2 linked regions of the Drosophila melanogaster genome follow. The protein of the gene in region 1 interacts with the protein of each later gene in a pairwise test. Each region holds a gene or a part of one and is shown in the gene's direction. Other genes may lie near its edges.

Region 1 (3,750 bases):
CCTTGGCTTCTTCTTGTAGTTTGCCCCATTTACGCGCTTTTCCCCTTCGTTTTCCCCGGCAGTTTGTGGGCGTTTTTACTGCTTCGGCACTCAAATCGCTTAAGCTGGTGCGGGAGCCATCCCCCCATAGACTCCCTCAACATTACAATATTTTAAAAGATTTACTGACCATGTATTTTCAGCTCAGCCAGCAAAGTGCAAAAAGCTGTAAAATATTGCGTATACGCCAAAGTGCCACCTGAGAAGAGCGGAGCACAAAGTCAAATCTAACAAAGCATAGCTAAGCGTTTGCCGGCAACTTAACTCGAATGGGGGAGAAGCCCCAAAAAAAGAGTTGGAACTAAAGTTTTCCCTCTCGGGAATTTATGGGCTACCAACTCCATTTGGAGCAGGTAATTTTTAGTTATGGGATTCAAGGAATAAACAGGCATGTCAAAAAATATAAATATTAAAAACCAGCAGTAGCTGAAAAAGTTTTATCTATTGTTTAAGTGAAGAGAGGAAGGGAATAACGTGCGATACGAGCTTATAAAATGTACTTTAAGTTAAGATAGTCTAGATATTAAAACACTTTCTAAAATTTTACAATTCCTTGTTTTAACTTATTCTCCCAATTAACGAAACAAATTTGGAGCAGTTTTTTCCTCAAAAAATCCCAGAAATACGAGCTGGAGCAGCCGCCAAAGCTGCTTAAAAGCAAAAATAAATAGAATTTTTAAGTAAATTGGGGCTGGCAACTTATTTGGCTGCGAGAACCAAGAACAAGGAGCAGTGCCAACACTTTTGTTCCAAACTTGGCCGGCATAACTCACCCGTGCATCCAGCAGATGGAGATGGAAACGGAGATGGAGCTGGTGCGGAGCATCTTGGTTGGAGTGCAAGTTGGTGCCACCGCACCACCAGCCGCGCAACAAATGGTGCACATTACAAGGGCCCAAAGCTACTTTGCCAACGCCAAAGGAGCTGCCACGTAGCGACTCACATATTTTATTATCTGCACCGCCGCCAGGGGCGTGGTGATGGGTTCGGGCAGGGGTGAGGTGTGGGGCTTTGCCAAAGGACTCCGGCACGGAGGGACCCAGGACCTTGTGTGTGCAACAAGGCGCACAACTTAAGCGGCGAAGACAAATTTTTATTGCCACAAGCCCAAGTCGATTTCGATTATTGACTGCAGGCCAAACTGTTGCACAAGGAGCAGCCAGAGCAGACAAGAAAGGGGGATTCCTCTACTCGCTCCAGTTCCATTCCCAATCGTATCCGTCTTTCCGGCTGCCAACTTTGTGTGGCCGTGTCTGTGTCTGTGGTTGCTGTCGTCGTCGCTCATTTGAGTCACATTTTATTATTTTCGTGCATTTATCGTATGCTCGGTGGCATTTTATTTTATTAGCGTGACATTTCAATTGATAGACCCTCGGGCTCGTACTTAACCGACTCAATTTGATTTTGCAACCAAAATGTGCGAATGGGAGCTGCAATATCGGAGTGTTTGAATGGGGTGCTTAAGACTTGGATACAAGATTTATTGATGAAATAATGGCAGGATGTACCATAAAATATTTTAAATAATAAAGGCGATAAAGGGATAGAGTCTTTTGAAAATAAGCATATTACGCAACGAGATGGTCACATGACTTTTCCAATACTTTTTCATAACCAAGGTGGCAACGCTTTAGCTGTCATATCTTGATTTGTCAAAGTGTGCACTCATGTTAAGCCATTTTCATTAACGCTTATACTTTGCACGAGACATATACCATTTCAAGGAGTTTTTTTTAGTAAAATAAAACGAGAAAACTAACAAAAAAAGGTTCGTTTATCGCATTGAATCAATAAAAAACAATGGTGTACACCGGTTACGTAAGCAACGGATTGCAGAATGCTGAGGAAACTGGTAAGCTGACAGCAGATCTTTTTTTTTACGATTCATCATTCGATATGCGAATCGAATATATTTAGCATGGGTGCCGTATGGAGATCCCAATGACTGGTCACATGGTCTGGCAGTTTATGATGGTTTGGAACTGATGAGCGGCAATGAGGAGGAGTTGCAGCCCTCATTGAACCGGGTGATGAAAAACATCGACTACGACCTGGCCATGAAGCATCCATTGGAGCATACCTGGACTTTGTGGCACTTGGAGAACGATCGTACCAAGCGCTGGGCCGAAATGCTCGTCGATGTGACCAGCTTCAACACCGTTGAGGACTTCTTCAGGTCAGACACAGATTCATATATATATATATATATCCTATATATATATATCCTATTCTATTTCGACAGTGTGTACTACTTTGTGAAGCCGCCATCGGATCTGAAGATATTCAATGACTACATGGTCTTCAAGAAAAATATTCGGTGAGTTCTGAAAGTCTGCTCTTTGAACCTCGTCTTATGTATATAAATATTTAGTCCCATGTGGGAGGATGACACCAATAAGAACGGTGGTCGTTGGATACTGCTCCTGGACAAGGCCTCCAGGACCTATATAGATAAGATGTGGCACGATTTGGTAAGCCACATGATTGCACCATAATTATAAGCTCAATGCATTATAAAGCATTATCTCCTTTAGCTTTTGTGCATGATTGGCGAGTGCTTCCAGCACTCGGACGAGATATGTGGAGTGGTCATCAATGTGCGCAACAAGGCTAATAAGCTATGTGGGTATAAGACAGCATTTCACATTGGGGTATCTCTAAGGTCAACTTTCTTTACAGCCCTTTGGACGAAGGACTCTCGCAATGTAGAGGCTATCCTGTCCATTGGCAGGCAGATAAAGGAGCTGCTGCATCTGGGCATTATGGAAATCCAGTACCAGGTGCACAAGGATGCCATGGTGAACCATGGACCCAATGTCAATGCCATCTACACATTGTAGGCCAATTTCCAAGGGCGCCATAGTACATTTCCAACGATAGTACATAAGCCTTATACATTTGTCAAACTCACATTTTATCCCACGCGCACCAATGCTTTTCGAGATAGATATCGGTTGTACCATGAATAAAGTATTGCGTAGAGCAGTAGAAACAGTAACTACTTTCTGGCCACGATTCGTGTGCCGGTATCCCGAGGCTACTATAGTCGCCTCACGTATTCCCCGGCGGAGTGGGAAACACATACTCGCTTCACTACGATTATCCTTGGCGTCATAATTTTGGGTGACTCTGCCCATCCTTTAACGGCTGCCATCGCGCGCCAAGTGCTTATTCCTTCCTATGTGTGTGCGTCGTCCTTTCAGGGCTTTTGTCTTCCGTGCTGCTGCGCATAGCAAATTGTGACCAATTTATGGAAATATGCTCGGGAAGCGCAATATCCTCCATTTCCAGGGAAGTGCTGCTAGTGCTCCTAGCAGGTTTTTCATTCTATATTCCAAATATATATATATTCCATATTCCAAAAACTAATATTTCAGATAGTATTGCCGGTATTCCTGGAAATCTCAGCACCTATGATATGTATAATATTTCTGCTCACATACTAAATGATATTTGAAAGTGCAAAATATTCAGACCCTGAATTGTCATCACTGATGCCCATGTAAGTCGTATGATTTGATTGCTGTAATTTGTAAGGATTTTGCTTTTATTGTTTTATTGAATTATGAAGTGGCAGCCACCAAATGACTGGAACGTGATACACTGCACATGGGGTTATGTCAGTGCCAATGGCAGCGTATCTCCGACATCCTGTCCAACCTCCCGGCGATGTCACCCTCTTTCTTCTCCCTACCCGCCGCCGGACGAATC
Region 2 (6,339 bases), on another chromosome or scaffold:
ATTACTTTTCTTATAGCTGAGCAATTCGTACATGTTCTGAAACAAAACCAGCAAAAAGCTGTCCAAAAACACACTGAACTGGTGGAGCAATATCGCCACTTCAATGGAACCAAACTCCTTTGCCTGAATTCCGGCCTTTCAGCTGTTCCCCAGAATATCTTCCAGTTGCCATCGGCCAGGTTAGTATTGGAAAAAAAATCATAATAGATCACCTGTCACTCGCTTGAGTCACAGTCCGTACACAATTTGATTCACATTTGATATTATACTGAGTACTGGAGTGATAAGCTCAGCAACCAAAATTATCTACAACCTTAATGATTGTTTTTTCTTTCGCGTTTCCTTACAGAAATCAAATGGTCTCTTGTGAAGACGTCTAGAGGTTGACAAAACAACGCTGCTCACATTTAAGATTGTTTCCAAACCAAAAAAAAATATATATAAGAGTCAAAACTCATTAAATACCTCAATCTTGATTCTTATTATCTTATTGCTATATTGGTTGTTAACTATACGTTTTGTCTAAGGGAACATCGAATTACAGGTAGAATTACATGACATAGACATGAATTTACAGATCAATTGTGTCTGGTTGACACTTTTGATAACTCTCAATTCAGAAGCGGATCGTTAAAGTCACGCAATATTACTATACTCAAAGTTGTTGCAGAAAGTGTTGCGGACAGTGCGGTACGTGTATTTCCATTTTCAACAATTCCCATTTTCAACTGTAATGAGGGTCGCTTTTTTCTGTTATTACGTGAAGTAGTAGTCATTAAAAGGCAAGAATGTCACAATTTGCTCCAATAAAAGTTATTGGCCAATAAACGAATAAAATAGTTACCCCAGACCCTAAGCATGATTGTTTTAAAGCTCTTTATTTATGATGAAGGACTTTCTTAAGTTAGGAATGATTCATAGGCAACATACAAAATACATGATATGATAATACGAGTAGAATAAGATATAAAGTAAGTTGTATGTAGATTTAATTGATCGAAATTATGCGCGCACGTCATGACATAAGTAATTTTCATTTCCGTTTTTTGAAAAATAGTCATCAAGACGTTTTTAATGATTTCTGTAAAGATTAAAACAACCATAGAGATGCATTTTTGCGATATAAAACTTATACTTAAGTTTTATTCAAGAACACTTTCACTTTTTCGCCAATCAATAATAAGCTATTTAAGTAATGTGTTAATGGAACTTAAAGAAATTCCTAGTAATTACTATCTTTAATTGAAAGTAAGATTTGTTGTTGGTAACAGGGTCAACTGCTGACCATTTCATACGATCCCACAGTGGGCCGATATCAAAATCAAGGCCCAAGGGTAGCAGACTCTCTCATAAGGAATGGTATTCGTATTTGTATTTGTTGCTCTGCTTCCAGATAAGATTGAAAAAGTGCCTATGAGCACCAAGAGATAAGGCACACTTTTGCTTTTGCGATAACGCACCATCGCAATTTCAGGCAATCAATTAATGAGCCAGCTGATATCGCCGATTCCCATTCCCTTTGGGCCAGCCAACGTCAGTTAGTTGGAGTTGGAATTCGATTCACAGCGGGTCGAGAGTTGTAGATCGGGTCGAGAAAAAAGAGCAAATAAATAAATAAAGAGCACAGTGGGCAGCACACAAGGTAACCAATCCATCGGTTCTTCTAAGCCCGTAAATCAACATACCAACGATATGTCTCAGACATCTGTATCTTAGGATCTGATGTCATGCCAGTGAAAGCAATAAATAAATCTCGAAACACGGCGGTAAATAATTGACCCACAATCACGGCCTAAAAATACGCGATTAACTCTTATATTCGAGTCCTTATGTAATAAGCTGCCATTAACGATTGCTTCATGAGCGAAGAATTTCCTGGCTTGTGATAACTGCAAAACAGAAATAAAGTAACGCCAGCAAACTGAAAAAGCAAAGCAATCGCAAACACAGTGCCAATTGCGTTTATCTAATCGGACAGGTAGCTACCACACAGGTGAAATAGGTACTCTCCTATGTACATATGTACACCTATGTACTTCTAAATGCAAAGGTATCTAATGGTAGCCATCTATCTGATTCGCATTGCCCATTGGGAATCAATAGTTTACCAGAACGCTTTGATTACACACCGCCGCAATGGTCAAAGCAGGCAATAGGACCCTGAAATACTTCCGACCCATTTCGGTCAAGTATGGGTAAATATCAAATATCAAGCGTGATAGACAGGAGGCTATCTCATAGATTGAAGCATTGCCAACACCTGTCTATCATATACCCGTATACTTAAAGTGCCACTTTGGAAATTTTCGGTGTTTTACTGTTTATGTTAGCATAACATTCAAACAAAGAGATCTTTTCGTCCTTGATCTGCATTTATAGTGTAAAAGATGCAGAACAAGATAGAAAATTCTTTACTATTGAACTATTAAAGTTTAACCTATTTTCCTTGTATTAAAAAGTGTAAGAGCAACTATTACTCATCGTCAATTACCTCTATGTCATGCATTAGTTGCAATGTAGTGTTATCAACAAAACAAAAAGAAGGGCAAAGAATTGCGCAGTTCATATTCTACAATATGTGCGCCTGAATGCCAAACTTTACATGGAAACAACCAATAAGTGATAAAAAAAAAAAAAACTATAGTTATTTGGAATGCCCATTTCCCTATTTCTCAGGATGCCACAAAACGGCTACGAAAATGGAGTCCCTGGCGGGAATCAGGCAAATGGGCACTACGACGAGGTCAAGCCCACCTATGCCCTGGAGCACTTGGCCACCTTTAAGCTGAAGAACGAGGCTGAGGTCAAGCAGCCGAAGGAGAAGATGAAGCTTCTGGTCGAATTGGAAAAGACCGGGGGCATTTGGCCGCACAAGATGTTCATGAGCTTCAATGGGCAGTGGCTGGTGATGCTGGACAGTGATATGAAGGAGATTGAGAACTTTCCGGGGAGCCTGATCACGGAGCCCACGGCTTTTATAAGCGATCATCCGCAGGAGTCATTCAACAATATCCTCATTTTCTCAGTGCCCGGAATCTCACTGGGCAATACCGAAATGCACATCTTCCAGGTGAGCAGCCACGATTTTTCAGCACTTTGAGATCTGTAATAATTAGATCATTAATAGGTGGCCGATGTCAGTTCCGTGCTCTTGGTTGAGGATCTAAAGACGGTGAGTTGAGTTGAATAAATAGATCCCCGATCTATATAATCCCAATACCACGATTTCTCAGCTAAGCAAGGGAACCCCTGTGACAGTGGATCGCAACAAGACGCCCATCCTGCTGCCCAAGCCGGAGAGGCCGCAGAACCAGCAGGCCAAGGATCAGTATGGAATAGCAGCTGCTGTGGCCGGAATAGCAGCCGAGAAGAATGCCATAGACAAGGAGCAGACCGAGAGGGATGTCCAGGTGATAAACCACTGCTTCGAGGACATCGAGCGGTTCATGGCCCGTCTTCATTATGCCGCCGAGGCGCTTAACGAGCTAAAGTTGCGCAAGGAACAGCATAATCCCCACGGTGAGGGACTTTTGGTCCTGAGATCGCGACCACCAATCGAGAGCGAGTTCCATGACATTTTGGCCAAGGCGAAACTGGCCCTTATATACTCCGTTCGGCTGCAGAACCAATTCACCAAGCCCGCCGATCCGGTGCACAATGTCTTCATATCGCTTAAATCCATCGTCACGGTTTGCAACGATATCTACGTGGATGCGGGTCTGCCGCAGGCGGTACTTAATCCCCTCCTGCGCCGTGAGACCATTGCCTTCCTCAATGGCACCCTCGACTCCAACGAGATGCAGCTGTGGCAGAGCCTCGGTCCCAACTGGACGGTTCCCAAGGATCAGTTCAAGGATCACAAGAGCTCTTATCATCCGATCTTCTACGACGATTGGTCTCCCGATTGGGTGGTCGATGAGGAGGTGCCGTACCTGGCTCCTGCTCTAAAAAAGAGCACAACGCCTTCGCCAGTGCCGGTTCCCATGCCCCCGAGTCCAGGTCTAGGAAATCGCACCTGGCTGAGTAGATTGGAGAGCCGAAATGTCAAGATCGCCGAGGTTACCTTCAATAAGTCGGCCACCAACGATAAGGAACTAAAGGTTACAAAGGGAGAGTATTTGGAGGTAAGTACCTAATAATAATCGAAAGGGGTTTTAATGTCAGTTCTTATCATTCAGATCTTTTAGCCAAATTTATCCCAATTTCAAGTTCCTTTAATTAAGATTTGCACAACATTTAAAACGACTTGCTTTTTTAATCGTTCGCTGACGTATGAATGTATGTAAGAGGCAATTATTTTGGGTTACAATACAGTTTTGTAAATATATAGGAATGTCCACGTGTGAGAACTGAATGATTTGAAATCTTATAAGGCACAGGTCTTTTACTTTTATATTAATCTTTTGTTTTGGAATGTTACTGATATAAAAAAGCTTTAGATAAGTATTGGTTGTGAAGATATGAAAATTCATTGCCGGTAATATATATGATTCAATAATTTTAAATTCAGGCATTTGAGATGTCTTACCAATGAGAGGTCAGTAACACTATATCAATACAAAAACTTTGAATGCAATTACTAAACATTGATTATATTTTTAACTTTATACCATGTTTACTATACATGGTACCAATCTTATCGATTCCCCAATTACGCGATCTTACCTTCATATCACCATGATAACAGACCTTATAATAACTATCATATAAATCGTCTGATTCCAAGATTATCGATGACTCCCGCAACTGGTGGAAGGCCCGTAACTCGTACGGAAACATTGGCTACGTGCCGCACACAGTGCTCACGCCGTACAACTTTGAGCCCGGAGTAAATGGCCGGGACACGGAGTCGCTGGCCTCAATGGCTTTGACGGAGAACGGCGGCGAGGAGGCCATTCCTCCTCCGCTGTACCGCAACACAATGGCCATGTATACCGCTCCCGTGGAGCAGCCGGCGGCCAATGGCAAGGCCATGCAGCGCACCTTCTCGATGCCCAACGTGCCCGTTCCACCACCGATGCCTCCACCGAGCGATAGCCAAACGCCCACGCCCAGTGGCACACTCAAACGCAACATGGCGGCGGCAGGAGCACTAGCAGGTGGGTACACTAGTAAATTAAAAAAAATAATACAATATAATAATGATATTTGTATTTATCTCATTCGCTTACCAGCCATGCGGGCCCGCAATGATTGCGAGGCAGATGATCAGCTCTACTACATGCAGGGCGACGTGCATGATGAACTGCGTCTACTGCAGCAGCAGCGAGAGAGGCGCAAGGACCTCGAGATCCTTAAGACGCCGGAAATCTTCATCACCCAGAATTCAAAGCCAAGCGAGGTGGAGGAGTGGCTGCGGGGCAAGGGATTCTCGGACATCATTATCAAACGATTGCACACGCTATCCGGCGAGGAGATCTTCGCCCTATCACCGCACACCATCGAAAGTTACTTTGGCCGGCGGGAGAGTCGCCGCCTCATTTCCCAGATCGTGCTGCAAAAGAATTTCTGCGAGGTGAGTTCTTGGACATATCCTCACCTTATCTAATCTAATCGAATCCATTCCAATATCCAATTTTGCAGTACAAAACCATTCGATCATCGGAGCTTTCTGCCAAACTGGCACGTGCTCGCCAAAAGGCCGATCAGTCCAATGGCAATCCCAACGAGGTCTTCTAAGACTCCCAGTATCCCGAGTTTTTTAGCCGGAGACCAGAGAGACAAAAATGCTTCAGATGCCATTAATTTATTTATGTGTAATAATCCTTCATTTATGTTAAACAGTGTTCATACGTATATTAAAAAAAAAAAAAGACAAAAATGGGTTTGATTTATATGCATTTAGTGTTAACATCTCGAATTGATTATAAATGTAATATAGATACTTTATTTAAACACAAATATTTATGAAGTGAAGAAATCATATGATTTCCTGTTTAGAAACTTAACTTCCCTAAACTCAAAAGTGGTATGGCATGATTAATTAGGCAAGAATATGTTTATCATTACAGGAAACTTTGAGAACTGGTTATGGAACAGTCCTAATGAAACGCTTATTGGTTAACCCAGATACCTTATATGTCGAACTCCAGTTCGAATTGCAGACTTCAATCAAAAGACTTACGAAATAGCCGAAATGAATTGGTTTTTTCAATAAACACGATGTTCAATGTTATGAAGAAGTAATAGACGTCGATTAAGAGTAATAAGTGATAATCTTCATAAATTCTGCTTCGTGAGTGCATCCTAAAAGTCAAGTAAGTGGGCGTTTCAAACCGGTAGGGGCGTGGCGTGTTATTTACCTTTTTTGTGAACACATTGCGGGGGAAATAAGTATTT

What was found.
Region 2: the proteins of eIF4E3 (region 1) and CG8907 interact in a two-hybrid assay, tested with the Drosophila melanogaster proteins (one large-scale study listed by BioGRID).

What each region holds. Positions count from the first base shown.
Region 1 is NT_037436.4:8,227,543-8,231,292, forward strand, and holds eIF4E3 (eukaryotic translation initiation factor 4E3), read left to right. Parts: upstream 1-1,681; 5' UTR 1,682-1,839; coding exon 1,840-1,891; intron 1,892-1,956; coding exon 1,957-2,215; intron 2,216-2,281; coding exon 2,282-2,356; intron 2,357-2,410; coding exon 2,411-2,510; intron 2,511-2,573; coding exon 2,574-2,661; intron 2,662-2,718; coding exon 2,719-2,879; 3' UTR 2,880-3,026; downstream 3,027-3,750.
Region 2 is NT_033777.3:17,006,734-17,013,072, forward strand, and holds CG8907 (uncharacterized protein), read left to right. Parts: upstream 1-2,096; 5' UTR 2,097-2,136; coding exon 2,137-2,195; intron 2,196-2,676; coding exon 2,677-3,070; intron 3,071-3,127; coding exon 3,128-3,172; intron 3,173-3,233; coding exon 3,234-4,124; intron 4,125-4,726; coding exon 4,727-5,099; intron 5,100-5,174; coding exon 5,175-5,515; intron 5,516-5,583; coding exon 5,584-5,679; 3' UTR 5,680-5,800; downstream 5,801-6,339. Other genes in the region: Irc (Immune-regulated catalase), read left to right, coding at 17-179, 350-380.